Sus scrofa: one gene and its partners. The protein of the gene in region 1 interacts with the protein of each later gene in a pairwise test. Links are inferred from orthologs where the notes say so. Each region holds a gene or a part of one and is shown in the gene's direction. Other genes may lie near its edges.

The links. The genes of interacting proteins can lie anywhere in the genome.
Region 2: the proteins of PLSCR1 (region 1) and MVP interact in a two-hybrid assay, tested with the Homo sapiens proteins (2 studies listed by BioGRID and IntAct). The link is inferred for Sus scrofa from reciprocal best matches to the Homo sapiens genes PLSCR1 and MVP.
Region 3: the proteins of PLSCR1 (region 1) and ANXA11 interact in a two-hybrid assay, tested with the Homo sapiens proteins (2 studies listed by BioGRID and IntAct). The two-hybrid records come from large-scale screens. The link is inferred for Sus scrofa from reciprocal best matches to the Homo sapiens genes PLSCR1 and ANXA11.

Annotation. Positions count from the first base shown.
Region 1 is NC_010455.5:86,856,930-86,861,494, reverse strand, and holds the start of PLSCR1 (phospholipid scramblase 1), read left to right. Parts: upstream 1-1,575; coding exon 1,576-1,648; intron 1,649-4,565. UniProt on the Homo sapiens protein: Catalyzes calcium-induced ATP-independent rapid bidirectional and non-specific movement of phospholipids (lipid scrambling or lipid flip-flop) between the inner and outer leaflet of the plasma membrane resulting in collapse of the phospholipid asymmetry which leads to phosphatidylserine externalization on the cell surface.
Region 2 is NC_010445.4:18,055,381-18,059,796, forward strand, and holds the start of MVP (major vault protein), read left to right. Parts: upstream 1-1,320; 5' UTR 1,321-1,973; intron 1,974-3,112; exon of another isoform or gene 3,113-3,279; intron 3,280-4,416. Other genes in the region: PAGR1 (PAXIP1-associated glutamate-rich protein 1), read left to right, coding at 1,121-1,320. UniProt on the Homo sapiens protein: Required for normal vault structure. Vaults are multi-subunit structures that may act as scaffolds for proteins involved in signal transduction. Vaults may also play a role in nucleo-cytoplasmic transport.
Region 3 is NC_010456.5:81,833,653-81,838,300, forward strand, and holds the start of ANXA11 (annexin A11), read left to right. Parts: upstream 1-1,552; 5' UTR 1,553-1,821; intron 1,822-2,108; exon of another isoform or gene 2,109-2,494; intron 2,495-4,648. UniProt on the Homo sapiens protein: Binds specifically to calcyclin in a calcium-dependent manner. Required for midbody formation and completion of the terminal phase of cytokinesis.

The DNA of each region.
Region 1 (4,565 bases):
TTGCATTTCACAAATGTAGAAATTCATCCTTCATATATTCTTTGGTCTACCTGACTACTTGCTCATTCACTTATTTTCCTCAGTGTATAAATTCCCCCTGGAATTACTGAAACATTTCAGGATCATTGCTCTGATACCAAAACCCCAGAGTTTATGAACTAAGAGGTGCCAAACTGTGATATATCATTTAAGGATGGGTCTTGAAGTCACACTTGCAGTGTGTTTCCTTGAGATCTATTGAGTCTGATCCTTTTTTTTCAAGCTCAGGTTGGGAGTGGGGGCTGTGGGCAGAGCCTCGAGAGCTATAGAACTAGGAGCTCAGCCACTCACCTGAAGCCAGGAAACAGAAGGGATGGTTAGGATGGAATGGCTTTTGATACTGCAGAAATATGTGGTAATTTGGGGTGTGCTGCAGTGTCTGTACAGGGAAAAGCCCTGAATGAAGTGGAGGATTCTCTGTCGCCTGAATTTGCAGTATCCATGGATCCCATTCTGCTGAAGTTACTATGAAGTCAATAGAATGGAGGAGGAAGTGGTGGGGGTGGGTCACAACCCAGCCTTCCTTCCTTCAAATCACATGAGTTGAGTGGGTTTTGAAAGCCCATGACTGGCCCATGATAGGAAAGCATACAGGAAATGTGCAGATTGAAAGTGTCATTAACTTTATCTTCCATACTGATGCCATGTCCTCATGATTCAAAAAGAAACTATTTTTAATTTACATAGTTAATAAGTCATAACAAAGAGAGGACAACATGGTATGAGGACAGTGTCCACGAGACCATAAACTCCATGAAGGCAGAGCCAGTGTAGCCATAGGGATGACACAGGAGATGCTAGTAAATATTTTTCTGGCTGGGGCAGTTGTTAAAGGAATGACTAGAAAAACACAAATATGAAAACTGGGAAATGGAACTATTCATACATATATTATTCAAACCACATTGATTAGCAGATACTAACATAAATTACCATGTTTATTTATTGTAATTGTCAGTTATGATTTTTGTATGACAAAATCAGTCAAATACTGGAATGTCCTATATTCAAACTTCATAGTGTAGTTCCAGAGTACGCGTAAAAAGGGAATTTAAATACTGAAGTATATGTATGTTATATGTATTATTTTAAATAATTAGAACATAATTCTTCAATCAATAATTATAGATATCTTTAAAATCACCTATAATCCTTGGTTCCACCATTCCCACATCCAGCTAGTTTCATTTATCTTTTTCTTCACAGTCTACATGTAGTTTAAAACAATCTATCTTTTCTAATAACAACAAAATCAAGATATGGAAGAGAATACTCATCAGGCATTTTTGCAAACTAGAAATTCAGCCCCAGAACTTAGCTGCCTATTTTATCCAAAGGGAATTTGTTTGAAACAGTATTCTACTGCAAATTAATTCTGATAATAGGCACAGCTTTTTTCAGTGAATAATTCACTTTCTTTCAATACAACACAGGCGTATATAAACAAAAATTCTCTAAGAACAATGCATTTTTCTTTCTAACATGTACTTTTTAAGAAGATAAATGTTTACCTCTCCTTGAACTGCAGATGCGCAAATGAAGGCTCCTTATCCGGGAACACACTCACCAGCTCAGAATCCCCCTGAATATCCTTCAGCAGGATTCTCAGGTAAAACATTAGCTTAAAGAATAAAAAACCAGATTTCCCCTTGTGGCGCAGTGGAAATGAATCCGACTAGAAACCATGAGGTTGTGCGTTCGATCCCTGGTCTTGCTCAGTGGGTTAAGGATCTGGCGTTGCCGTGAGCTATGGTGTAGGTTGCAGATGTGGCTCGGATCTGGCGTTGCTGTGGCTGTGGTGTAAGCCTGCAGACATAGTTCCGATTAGACCCCTAGCCTGGGAACCTCCATATGCCAGGGGTGCAGCCCTCAAAAGACCAAAAAGTAAAAATAAAAAACCAAAATGTATCAATTACTGATATTCCCAAAAGGGTGTCTGTCTGTCTGTCTCTGTGTTAAAAGTGCAGTGATGAAATTGGCAGCATACATCTTTCTTTGACTATATATTATCATAAATATCATTGAAATATTTTTTATTTATACAGGATAGTAAAGGTGTAGTGTTAATAACAGTAGTGAATTGACATTCAGCAAATAAAATATAAGGTCACATATATATTAAACCCCAAAATACATACATTAAGTAAGAGATTTTACTGAGTCTCCATTTGTTCTGAAAATTATGGTCATGCAATCATTTTTAGGAAATTTATCTCTGGATGTTTTTGAGTCATTTGTCATCTGGGGTTAATTGTGTTCAGTGATTGTCATGCAGAAGATGACTGGTTAAACCTGGAAGCTGCAGGCAACAGAAAAATAGCTACCTAGGATAATTCTCATTTTTATTTTGTTATACACAAAAATGTAAAAGTTTCACTTTTATAGACATAATCATATCTTGCTTTTCTTTAAAATTTTAATTGAAGTATAGTTGATTTACAGTGTTCTTTCAATTTCTGCTATACAGCAAAGTGATCCAGTCATATATATATATGTATATATATGTATATATATATATATATTCCTTTTTCATATGATCCTCCGTAATGTTCTAACTCCAGAGAATGGACGTAGTTCCCTGTTCTGTACAGCTGTACAGTAGTTTCCCACTGTGTATCCATTTTAAATGTAATAATTTGCATCTACCAACCCCAAACTCCTTGCTTTTCTAAGAAAAGTAACTGGATCATATCACTATAAACCAAGGAATACATTATTTCTTTTGAACCACTGCCTAGGAGGCTTCAGAGATTTTCATTTAAACAAATGCAGTTATCAACATTACCAGAATTTTACCGAATGACAGAGTTCATGGTGCACCCAGATTTGCAAGTAGGCAGGGTACCCACATCTTGAGAGACCATCCTGGGGACTTAGGATCAAAAGGAATCTGTTTGGGCAGAAGGGTGTATGCATTTTGATTCTATTCTGAGCAAATAAATGTGCTCGGGAGATGGATGGATTGTTTACCCATCTAGCCAGAAACATCTCAGTGTAGCCTGGATCTCATCCAGATGTTTGCATTTTAAAAGAATGTGGAGTAAAAAGACTCCAAGACTCTAAGGTGATAGTTCTCAAAAGTGCCTGTACTTAGGTATTACTTGCAAACTGTTGAAAACATTAGCATCAGGGCACTATCCCAGGAAAACAGAAGCAGAAGCTCTGGTTGTGGACCCCTGGGATTGGTCACTTCTTTAAATTTCTCAGGTGATTTAAATAAGCAGCCAGAGTTGAGAATTGCTGCTATAAATTTTTATGTGATTGGTATTTGAAGAATTATAAGCAAATCTATGATATGCACCCAAGGCACTTGGAGGATGTTTTAACCCACCCATTAGCTAAGTAATAGTAGGTGATACATAATTAAATTAGATAATAATCAGAATTGAGAGATTGCAAGAAAAATAGCTCAATTTTATTTCTGAAGTCCAATAATATAGGTACTTTATGATAATGGTGCTAACAATGATAGACTAAAATTAAGAGTTTACTGTGCCTAATGTTGATTAACTAATTTAATTATCAGACAATCTTATGAGGTAAATACCATTAATTATCCCCATTTTTCAAGTGGGAAAACAGGTATAGAAAGACTGAATCAGGCTTCAAAATCTGACTTTTGTTCTGAATAGTTGTGTGGTAGTTTTAAGCAAGTTGCTGTAAGTCCAAGCCTCAGTTTTTAATCTATAAAATGAGCATAATATTTTCTAATTCAGGCAATTTGGAAATTAAATGAAACTATGTGTAGAACATCTAGTGAAATGCTTTACAGTTAATAAAAGACAAATATTTGCTATTACATTAATAATATGTTCACTTGGGCTTTATTTAAATGAAAATATTACCCAAATTTCAAGTGATTCTATAGGCCTAACCCAATGATTTAGGAAATAATTACCTTTTCCAAGAATCTTTTGAAGATTAAATAATGCTAATAATCTAACCATTTCATATCTCACCTTCACTGGCTTGTCTATGGTTTGATGTTTGCACTATAGCCAGTGATGTTTAAAAATACATATATTCATATTATAGGCAGTATCTAATGAATACATCATTGCTTCCTCTTGCATTCAGGATAAAGGTTTTGTTCTGGTCCACCAAACCCAAAGGGATCCTCTGTTTTCTCCTTAACTGCCTCTTAAGCCTGTCTCTTTTCTTTCAGATAGATTGTCCTTTTTTTTTTTTTCAGATTTTCAAAGCAACTGTGTTTGTTACTATCCCCTGCTGCTTGCCTCCTCAACTCCTTTGCATCCATTAGATCTCAGCTGAAGGTGGTCCTCAGGGACGGTGTCTCAACTCCCTCTCTCTCTCTCTCCCCATCCAAACACCTTCCTTTGGCACATGTAGTCACAAAACCCTGGTCTCTTCCTTCGAAGCGCTTGTCTCTGATTCTAGTTAGTTAACCACACTGGTGTAGATCCCTAGAGTAAGGGTGAGTATGAAGTTCTTCTCTCATTAGGCAGTGGGACAGGGATTGCATTCGCATTTGTTATTTGAAATCCCAGTGCTCATCACTCATAAAA
Region 2 (4,416 bases), on another chromosome or scaffold:
AACTCCCAATTCTGTTTTAAATTCTCCGAAGGAGGAGTTCCTGCTTGGTGCAGTGGATTAAGAATCTGATTGCAGTGACTTGGTTCACTGGAGAGGGACGGGTTCAATCCTGGGCCTGGTGCTCTGGGTTAAAGGATCGGGCGTAGCCTCAGCTGTGGTTTGGATTCAGTCCCTGAACTTCCATGTGCCATGGCTGCGGCCGTTAAAAAAAAAAGGAGTTCCCATTGTGGCTCATCGGAAATGAACCCAACTAGTATCCACGAGGATGCGGGTGTGATCCCTGGTCTTGCGCAGTTGGTTAAGGATCCGATGTTGTTGTGAGCTGTGGTGTAGGTCGCAGATGTGGCTTGGATCCCGAATGGCTGTGGCTGTGGTATAGGCTGGCAGCTGTAGCTTTCAACCCCTAGCTTGGGAACTTCCATGTCCTGCACGTGCAGCGGTAAAAAGCAAAAAAAAAAAAAAGTCTTCCAAAGGATTTTATTGCTGGGGTGTAAGAGCTTATCAAAATGAGAATCCAGGAGTTCCCATCGTTGCTCAGTGGTTAATGAACCCAACTCTCATCCATGAGGACACAGTTTCCATCCCTGGCTTTGCTAAGGATCCCAGCATTGCCAAGGCTGTGGTGTCGGCCGGCAGCTACAGCTCTGATTCGACCCCTCGCCTGGGAACCGCCATATACCGTGGGTGCGGCCCTAAAACAATTTAAACAAAGAGAATCCAACACACACACTGTGCCCCCACCAAGGCTTCCATTTAAACAAAGAGATCCGTACCCCTTATCGTGATCTGTGAGTCATTTCTTGGGCCTCATCTTTCCTGTCTCCCCCAGTTCTGCATTTGCCCTTGAGCAGACCTCCCCGTTCCTGCCCTGGGGCTTTTGCACTTGCTGGTGCCTGCCTGGGCTGCTCTTCCTAGGTCTTCACATTACCTGCCCCTTCTCATACGTCCAGCCTTCACGGCCCACCCCATCTGAGGCCCCAGCCCTACACCACAGCCCCTCCAGGACAGGCCTAGAAGTCGCTCTGTTTCCCGAGCTCCTCAAGTGAGTCATAAGATCCCAGGAAGGTCCGGGGCACAGAACCTCAGTCGCGCCCACATTTCTCTCCTTCCCCTTCTGCAGGAAGCTCAGCCCGGAGCCAGAAACGGGAGGCCCGCCTGGACAAGGTCCTCTCGGACATGAAGCGGCACAAGAAGCTGGAGGAGCAGATCCTCCGGACCGGCAGGGACCTCTTCAGCCTGGACGCAGAGGACGCCAGCCCCCCCAGCCCCGCGCTCCGGGCCTCGGGAAGTAGCCTCTTCCCCAGGCAGCGCAAGTACTGAGCGCCTCTGCCTTTAGGGTGCAGAGTCCTGACCTGCTGGCCCTCCCTCCCTACCCCGGGGGCGCTGGGGCACCTGGGAGGAGCAGAGACCCTGCGAACTCCCAACACAGCACCTTACCAGAAAGAGGACATGTGTATGTGTGTGTGTGTTTTCTATGGAACCGTTGTTTGGACACCTGGGCTGAATTTTCTGAATCTAAAATAAAAAAAGAAAAGTAGCAGGTTATCTTCTCTTTAGAGGAGGTACTGCCGCTGGAGCACACGCAGGCCTGGAGAGGCAGAGTCGGACCCACCCTGATGGGAAATGCCAGCCAGAGGGGGGAGAAGCCAACTCAGCACCACCCCCCCCCCCCCCCGCCGCCGCCCTAGGCCTTGGACCCCCTCCTAGTTTCATTCCAGCGCTGCCAGCTGGCTCTGAGGCGGGCATTCCTGAGCACTGAATGAGCTGCAGTGCCTTCAGCTGCAGTGAAAGCCTCCCACAGGAGAGAAACAAACCCAAAAAACTCAACGAGAACCAGCTGCAAGGGCCCTTTAAATGCCCAAGCCCCACCCCTGCGCCTGGCCTGCCCTGCCGGGAAGTGATCCCTAGGGCTGGGTGAAGGCGGCTCCCTCTCCGAGCTGAGGCGTCAGCTGCAGCCAGCCACACTTCTGGATGTAAGTACTCCGTCCTGGCTCCCAAAGCCCCAAACCAGCTGGCGGGCCCTTGTCCCCCACCCCCAAGACCTCTCCCTAGCTCTGTCCTGCCTTCGCCGACTCGCGTGGGCTGGGGCAGGTGGCTTTAGAACTAGAGCCGGGAGAAGGTGGGTGGAGGCTTGGCCTTGGGAGATACCGCTGGCCTTGTTTTTTCGGGCTTCTGAAGGCAAAAGGCAACTCATCTGACCCCTCGCCAAACCCCATCTCAGGCCTCTCGGACTTTGAGCTCCCACATCCGCAGTAGGGGCAGGGGAAGCTTCACGGGTCCGTTCACACCCCCTCCTGGACTGAGACTGGTCCCTGCTGTCCTCATCTTTTCCCTCCCCCTGGGGACCTGGGCTCTGGTCGCTCCCCTTGAGCTCTTAGAACGCGCCCCCCGTGGAGGTTCCTCAACCCTGCAAACGCTGAGGTTTCCACCACTACCCCCCTCGGCTCTGCGCACGGCGGGCCTTGCAGTTCATTTGAGAGGTCGTCGGCAGAGTAATCTTCAGATAGGCTTGATTTCTAGAAGGCATAGATGAGGAAGGTGCTTTTTCCTCTTCGGGACAGGGAAGTGAAAACAGGCAGCTCTTTTGGACCTGCCAGCCCAGTGACTCTGGAGACCTCAGAAGCATGGAGCGTTGGGGGATGGTAGTTGAGGCAGGTGCCCCGTTTTCTCTTCCTGTTTGGGTGGGCCCTTAGAATTTATGGGGGGGGGTGTCGCAAAGGGTGCCAGGTGACTCCTAGAAACTTTTGCCTGTCTCCACCCTTGGCACCTAGTACACCCACCACCCTCCCCGGAGGTGAGGCTCTCTGGCCAGGGCAGCTCTCTAAAGCCATGAGCAGGCAGGACAGCCCCTGGGAATGGCTGGCCCAGAGGCCAGAGGGCCCTAAAGTAACCCAGGCCTCCTTGTTGGGTGCTGCCCTCCCAGGTTGCAGAGAAGGCTCACCTTTGATCTGCACTGGCACTGTCGCCTGGAGACCTCCCAGCTCCACCCAGGTCCTTGTCAGAATCTTAGCCACATTTATGTCTGCCTGAGAAGCCATGCTACTTCCTCGGGTGGAATTCTGGCTCCCTCCTTGATCGTTGTGTGATCCTGAGCAAGTGCCTTAATTTCTAGGTCCTTGCCGAGGATTAAACAAGCCAATTAAAAGCATTTGGGAATTCCCTAGTGCCTCGCCAGGTTAAGGATCCGGCTCTGGTTATAGCTGTCTCGCTGGTTCAATCCCTGGCCCAGGAACTTCCACATGCCCCGGGCGCAGCCAAAAAAAAAAAGCATTTAATATGGTGAGTGGCACAGATTAAGTTCTCAATAAGTGAGAGCCGTTATTTGGGGGGCACTTGCCAAAGATAGAAATTCTGGAGTCTCTCTCCTGGAAGCCTTAGCCCAGTGGGTTTGAAGTGAGGCCTGCTGGGAAGCAATACTCCCAGCTGAGTCCTGTGATTGGGTGATTGTAGAAAACATTGATCTGGATCAGGGGGTTCTGAAGCCTGGTTCCTGGGTCATTTCCAATCTAGCCAATCCTCGCCTTCAATGACTGGCATTAATTGGAAGCATCTGGGAGGCAGGCTAGACATAGGCCCAGAAAGGAATTCCCTTTGTGGCCCAGCGGTTAATGAGCCCATCTAGGATCCATGAGGATGCGGGTTCAATCCCTGGCCCCGTTCAGTGGGTTAAGGATCTGACGTTGCCGTGAGCTGTGGTGGAGGTTGCAGACAAGGCTCAGATCCGGTGTTGCTGTGGCTGTGGTGTAGGCTGGCAGCTGCAGCTCTGATTCCACCCCCAGCCTGAGAGCCTCCATGTGCCAAGGGAGCAGCCCTAAAAAGCGAAAAAAAAAAAAAAAAAAGAAATAGGACCAGAGGTAGACTGAGCTGGCAGAGCTTTTCTGTTTCCAGAATAAGCTGCTGTTCCTGCAAAGTCACCCGGTTGGACTGGAGTTGAGAGATTTTCCTAGGAAGTGCCTAAAACTTTGTCCCTGAAAGTAGTGATTTATGTGAGACATTCTTGGGAATTTTCGCCCTGATCTCCCACAGCAGGAAATATTTGCCCTAAATTGAGAAGCTCTCAGGTGAAAATGGCCCCTCTGCTGTCCCTGAGTAAGTAAGTGTGACTCTGTCATCCTCTAAACAAAGCCTAGAATGTCTCAGATCAATGAAGGGAAAGGGCGAAGATAAGGTCCTGTTTGTGCCCAGTTTCCTGTGCATTTTCTCAAACCTAAACTTGAGAGAGGTGATGGTGCCAAGACTGTCCCCAGCTTCGCTTCCAACTTCAGACCTGCCTGGACCGAGAGCCCAGGGCTTGGGACAAGGGGACCTGTGTTGGCCGAGGGCTACTTGGACCTGGGGGCGAGGAGCTAGAGGAGATAATACTTGAACCTCTCTGCTTTTGAGGACAGGCTGCCATCCGAGTTCATCTTCCATCTC
Region 3 (4,648 bases), on another chromosome or scaffold:
CGCTGCGGGCTCCCATACCAGAAATATAACCCGGGGAGAGTCTCCTTGTGTCTCTGACCCTCCACTCTGTTTCCTCCGAGCCTTTGGCCAGAATTTCACCCTTATCCGACCAATCATCTCCAAAAAATGCAGTCCAGCCGCGAAAAAGGGCCACGCCTTGGGGGAGGTGGGGGTGTTGCCTGGATCCCCAGGGTAGCAGGGCTTGATTGAATCCTGCAAGAGTGCGCGCCTTGCGCCCAACACCCACCCCCAGCCTGGTACCCTGCCGCCCCGCCCAGCCCAGCCCCACTCCTAGCACTATTACAATGTAAATCGGACCAGCAGCTCTTTTTTTTTTTTTTTTTTTTTTTTTTTTTAACAGCCCCCCAAAAGCAACTACCTTCCTAAGGAGCTAAGTATTAAACAATGGCTACACGCGAGATCGCGCATGTTGTGTACTGATTAAATAAGAACCAGGTTGATCTAGCTGCGCTTCCATGAAAAGGACCTCCAAGATATTGAGTTAAAAAGCACGTCGCAGAAAAATACAGCAACACCGTTTTGTAAAAAGTATATCTATGTGATATAGGAAAGGCACGCCTAAGTTGGGCTGGGGGAGTGAAGAGTGAATCTCAGGTTTTTAAAAATATTTAAATGTTTATGTAATATATATTATAAACATTTGTTAAATAAAAATAAAAATATTCACAAATCGCATGCGTGCATGACCCTTTTTAAAAATAAATTTAGAATTGTTTTAAATCTACAGAAAAATTTCAAATAGAAGGTTCTCATAAACACCTTTTTTTTTCTATTAACATTTTCTGTTGGCTTGGTGTTTTGCTACAATGAGCGAGTCAATACTGATGCAGTATTATTAACTTCACTCAGATTTTCTTAGTATTTAAATCTAATGTCCTTTTTCCAGGATCCCATCCAGGATACCATATTACATTTAGTTTTCATAATCTCCTCAGGCTTACTCCTGCCTGTGACCATGTGTGTCTCAGACTTTTCCCTGGTTTTGATGACCTTGACAATTTTAAGTAGTACTGGTCCAGTATTTCGTAAAGTATCCCAGAACTGGGATTTGTCTCATGTTTTTCTCATGATTAACATGGGATTATGTATTCTTGGCAGGAAGACCACGATAGGTTCATACCATCACTATTGATTTATCATTCTTGATGCTGACCTTGATTGTCTGGCTTTAGTAGTTGGTCGCGGTTTCTCCTCTACAAAGCTACTCTCCCACTCCAATTTCCATACTGTTGTGTTCTTTACTTTAAAAGAGTCACTAAGGAAGGTACTCTGGGCTGGAGGGGGCTTGGGGAATCCGCTCCTCGAGAGTGAGACGCAGGGCAGGACGGACCTCAAGAGGCGTGGAGAGAAACAGCATCATGTCGACCTCTGGGCGACCGCTGAGTACTCCTCCCGCAGCGGCGGAAGGCCTGTAGCTTCCTTCCTCGCAGAGGCAGCTTACAGCCAGCTGACCCCGAACGTCTTCTCACCTGGGGGCGGGAGCTGGGGGCAGACCACGCCCCTCGGCACCGCCTCCTCCCGCCCCTCCCCTGGCGCACGCGGCTCCGCCCCGGGCGGATTAGGACCCCGAGCCCTAGGAGTTTTCCGCCTCGCAGGCTCCTCCTCCCGCCCCGCCCTGACGGCTGCGGAGCCCGCGGGTCCCGAGAGCCCCGAGAACCCCGAAAGCCCAAAGAGCGGTAGTGGGACAGAACTCGAGGCCAATCCGAGGTGCTACTCCGGGACGCCCGTGGAGAAAGTCGCTGCTGCCCGTGTTCCTGTTCGACCGTCGCGGCCTCCCCTACCCCGGTGGCCAGTGGCCAGGTGAGTGAGGGTTCTTTGACTGCCGAGGGCACGGGACGGGGCGTTGGCCAGGCGCTGCGGCCTCTACCGGAAGGCCCCCAACTGTCCCGCGCCCCTTCCCATCGCGGCCCCGTCGCTTCCTGGTTGCACAGCGTTTGGGGGGGGGGAGGGAAAGGGGCGGGTGTCGGGCTGGTCCCGACCGGCTGCGTCGACGGCGAGGGGGCGGGGGGTTGCCTTCCTTGTCGGGTGGGTGGGCCACGTGATTGTGCTGCTGTGCCGGTGTCAGGGGTTCAAGCCGAATTTGGGCCGGCTTGGGACCGGGTGAACCCGTGACAAGAAGGCGACTGGCTGGTGTGGGCATGGACGGTGGCCATGGCCCCTCTGACCCCGCTGAATTCTCTAGAGTGTGTGTACCCTTCCGGGAAAGGCTTGTCCTGAGGAGAGCTAGTGGAGGACGCTGTCTTAAGCACCTTTCCTCCGGAAGACGGAAATACCTGGGAGCTGCTAGTGTTGGAATTGATTTGTAAGGCGTTTTGAGAGAACGCCGGATCCATCTCAGGTGCTCTGCTGACCTGTGTGTTTACCTTCTCTATCTGTCTTTCCTCCATCTCCAACCTTGAGCTGAAGTTTCAGGGAGGGATTCTTGACTTTAACTCCCTTTGGGCTCAACCCAGCCTCCTGAAGTTTTAAAAAGGTAAATACGCGTCTGTTGGCATAAATGAGGGTTATGAAATTCATCAGCTTGAGACTTTGAAGAGGAGAAGCTAAGTCAGCCAGTTTGAGCCCAAGCTGAGAACAGTCTGCCTGGCACATTTCTGTCCCTGCCCCCTCTAGTCAGTGTGACCTTTCTTTAGAGGCTGGGTGTTTTAGGACAGACCCAGGGTGTCTGTGGTAGCCAGCCACTCTGCCTACCCTCCGTGCCTTCTTCACTTTGCTCTCTGCTGCTTTAACCTGGGCATGGAGTGGCGCTGGGTGGGGTGAGCCTCTGCCCTGCCCACACAGCAGGAACAAAGCTTTCAGGCAGTGCCAGGCTGAGTCCAGGAGCTGGACAGGTGGGCTGTATTATCTTGCTCACTCCTAACTGGCTCTCATTATGCTCCTTTGTTCCTTCCTTGTTTCAGTCAGCTGTTGGGGATTCCAGTAGGATTAACAGGGCCCCTTCCCTCAAGGCACTCTCCATGCTACAAGGTGTTCCTAACAAGATAGGCCAGGCCAGGTGAAGCGCCAGGGCAGTTTGTTGCCCTGGCGTGGGGTGCTTACTACCTCCTGCATCCCTCCTGAGTCTCACCTCTCGTTAGTCTCTGTGCCTTGGTTTCCTTAAAGTGGGGGTAATAATACCTACCTACAAGGCCATTGTGAGGATTAAAATGATTTAATATTTTTAACAACCATATAGCTCAGGCATTGATCTGAACAGGTGGTGACTGGTGCACCATACCTGTGTGTCCCAGGTGGATGTCACCCAGATTAGACATAAAGCTTGCAGTGGAGCCTGGCACATAAGTAATCATCTGTAAGAGTCAACAATAGTAATATAGTAATAATAGCTACCACTCCCTCTATGCAGCTGAAGGTCTAACAGTTGAATTGCTCCTTCTGACCTCTTCTGTCTTAGCTCATGCTGTTCTACCCTCCTTCCCCCATTTCTGCCCATTATTCACCACCCTCCTAGGGACCATCCAGGTGCCTGCTCCTAGCAGGAAGGGGCAGAACACACTGTGAGCCCACGCAGCTCTCCTCTTCTGCTCCTTTGGCCCTATTTCTCAATATTCACCCTGCAGTAGTAATTGTATAGTCTTATCTCTACCCCATCCTCTTGTCTCTGGTCTCACAGCATCCAGGAGAGACCTTGCCTAATTTAGGTCCTTAGGGGATGTTAGTTAAGTGAAAGAAGCAGGCCAGGGAAGTGAGTTGTTAAAGTATTATACCTTGGAAGCTGAAATTAGATAAGCCAAAAAAAAAAAAAAGTGGGGAGAGTGAGATACAAGCAAGTTCAGACTGAGAGGTGAGCATAGGAACTGGCCGAGCAACCAAGTAGGAGTCCCCTTGGATTCCTTTCTGTAGTCAGGACTAGGATGGTAGATAGGGCTCATCCTGGATTGCTGTACCTAGAAGGCCAAGATCGATTACTGATGCCTTGGCCGCGTGACTTGGGGAGGATGGGAGGTTTGGAATGACAGGAGTGAGAATTGAGTGTGGGTTTTTCTTGGGAATTCATTGCAGAATAGAGGGGGAAAAAAAAAAAAGCCAGTGTGGGCAGGAGGTGAATGTAGAAACAAAATCTGTGCTGAGCACTAGATGTTCAGAGGACCCTCTCCTTCCCCCTCCATCCTTTGTCTTCTCAGCTGCATCTTTTCCCTCTTGAACCTGAAGCAGTCCCTGGCACTTGGTCCCCTGGAGGGCACTGGGGGAGGAGTCTATACCTAGGTGTGTTTCACAGTCACAGCCAAGCAAACAGACTCAGGTTTCTCTGGATTTTTCTCTACAGTACCTTGTGAACCTATTGCCTGCAGAACATCAGGAATTTGAGGGATATATAGATAGTGAAGCTCTTGGGGAAATGAAGAAAATGAAGTTTTCCTGTTGGAAATTTGCTTTTTTTTTTCTTTTTAGGGCCACACCCACGGCACATGGCAGTTCCCAGGCCAAGGGTCAAATTGGAGCTCCAGCTGCCGGCCTACACCACAGCTACAGCAACATGGGATCGAGCCATGTCTTCGACCTACACCACAGCTCACAGCAATGCTGGATCCTTAATGCACTGAGCGGGGCCAAGGATTGAACCCACATCCTCATGGATAGCAGTTGGATTCATTACTGCTGAGCCACAGTGGGAACTCCTGGAAAT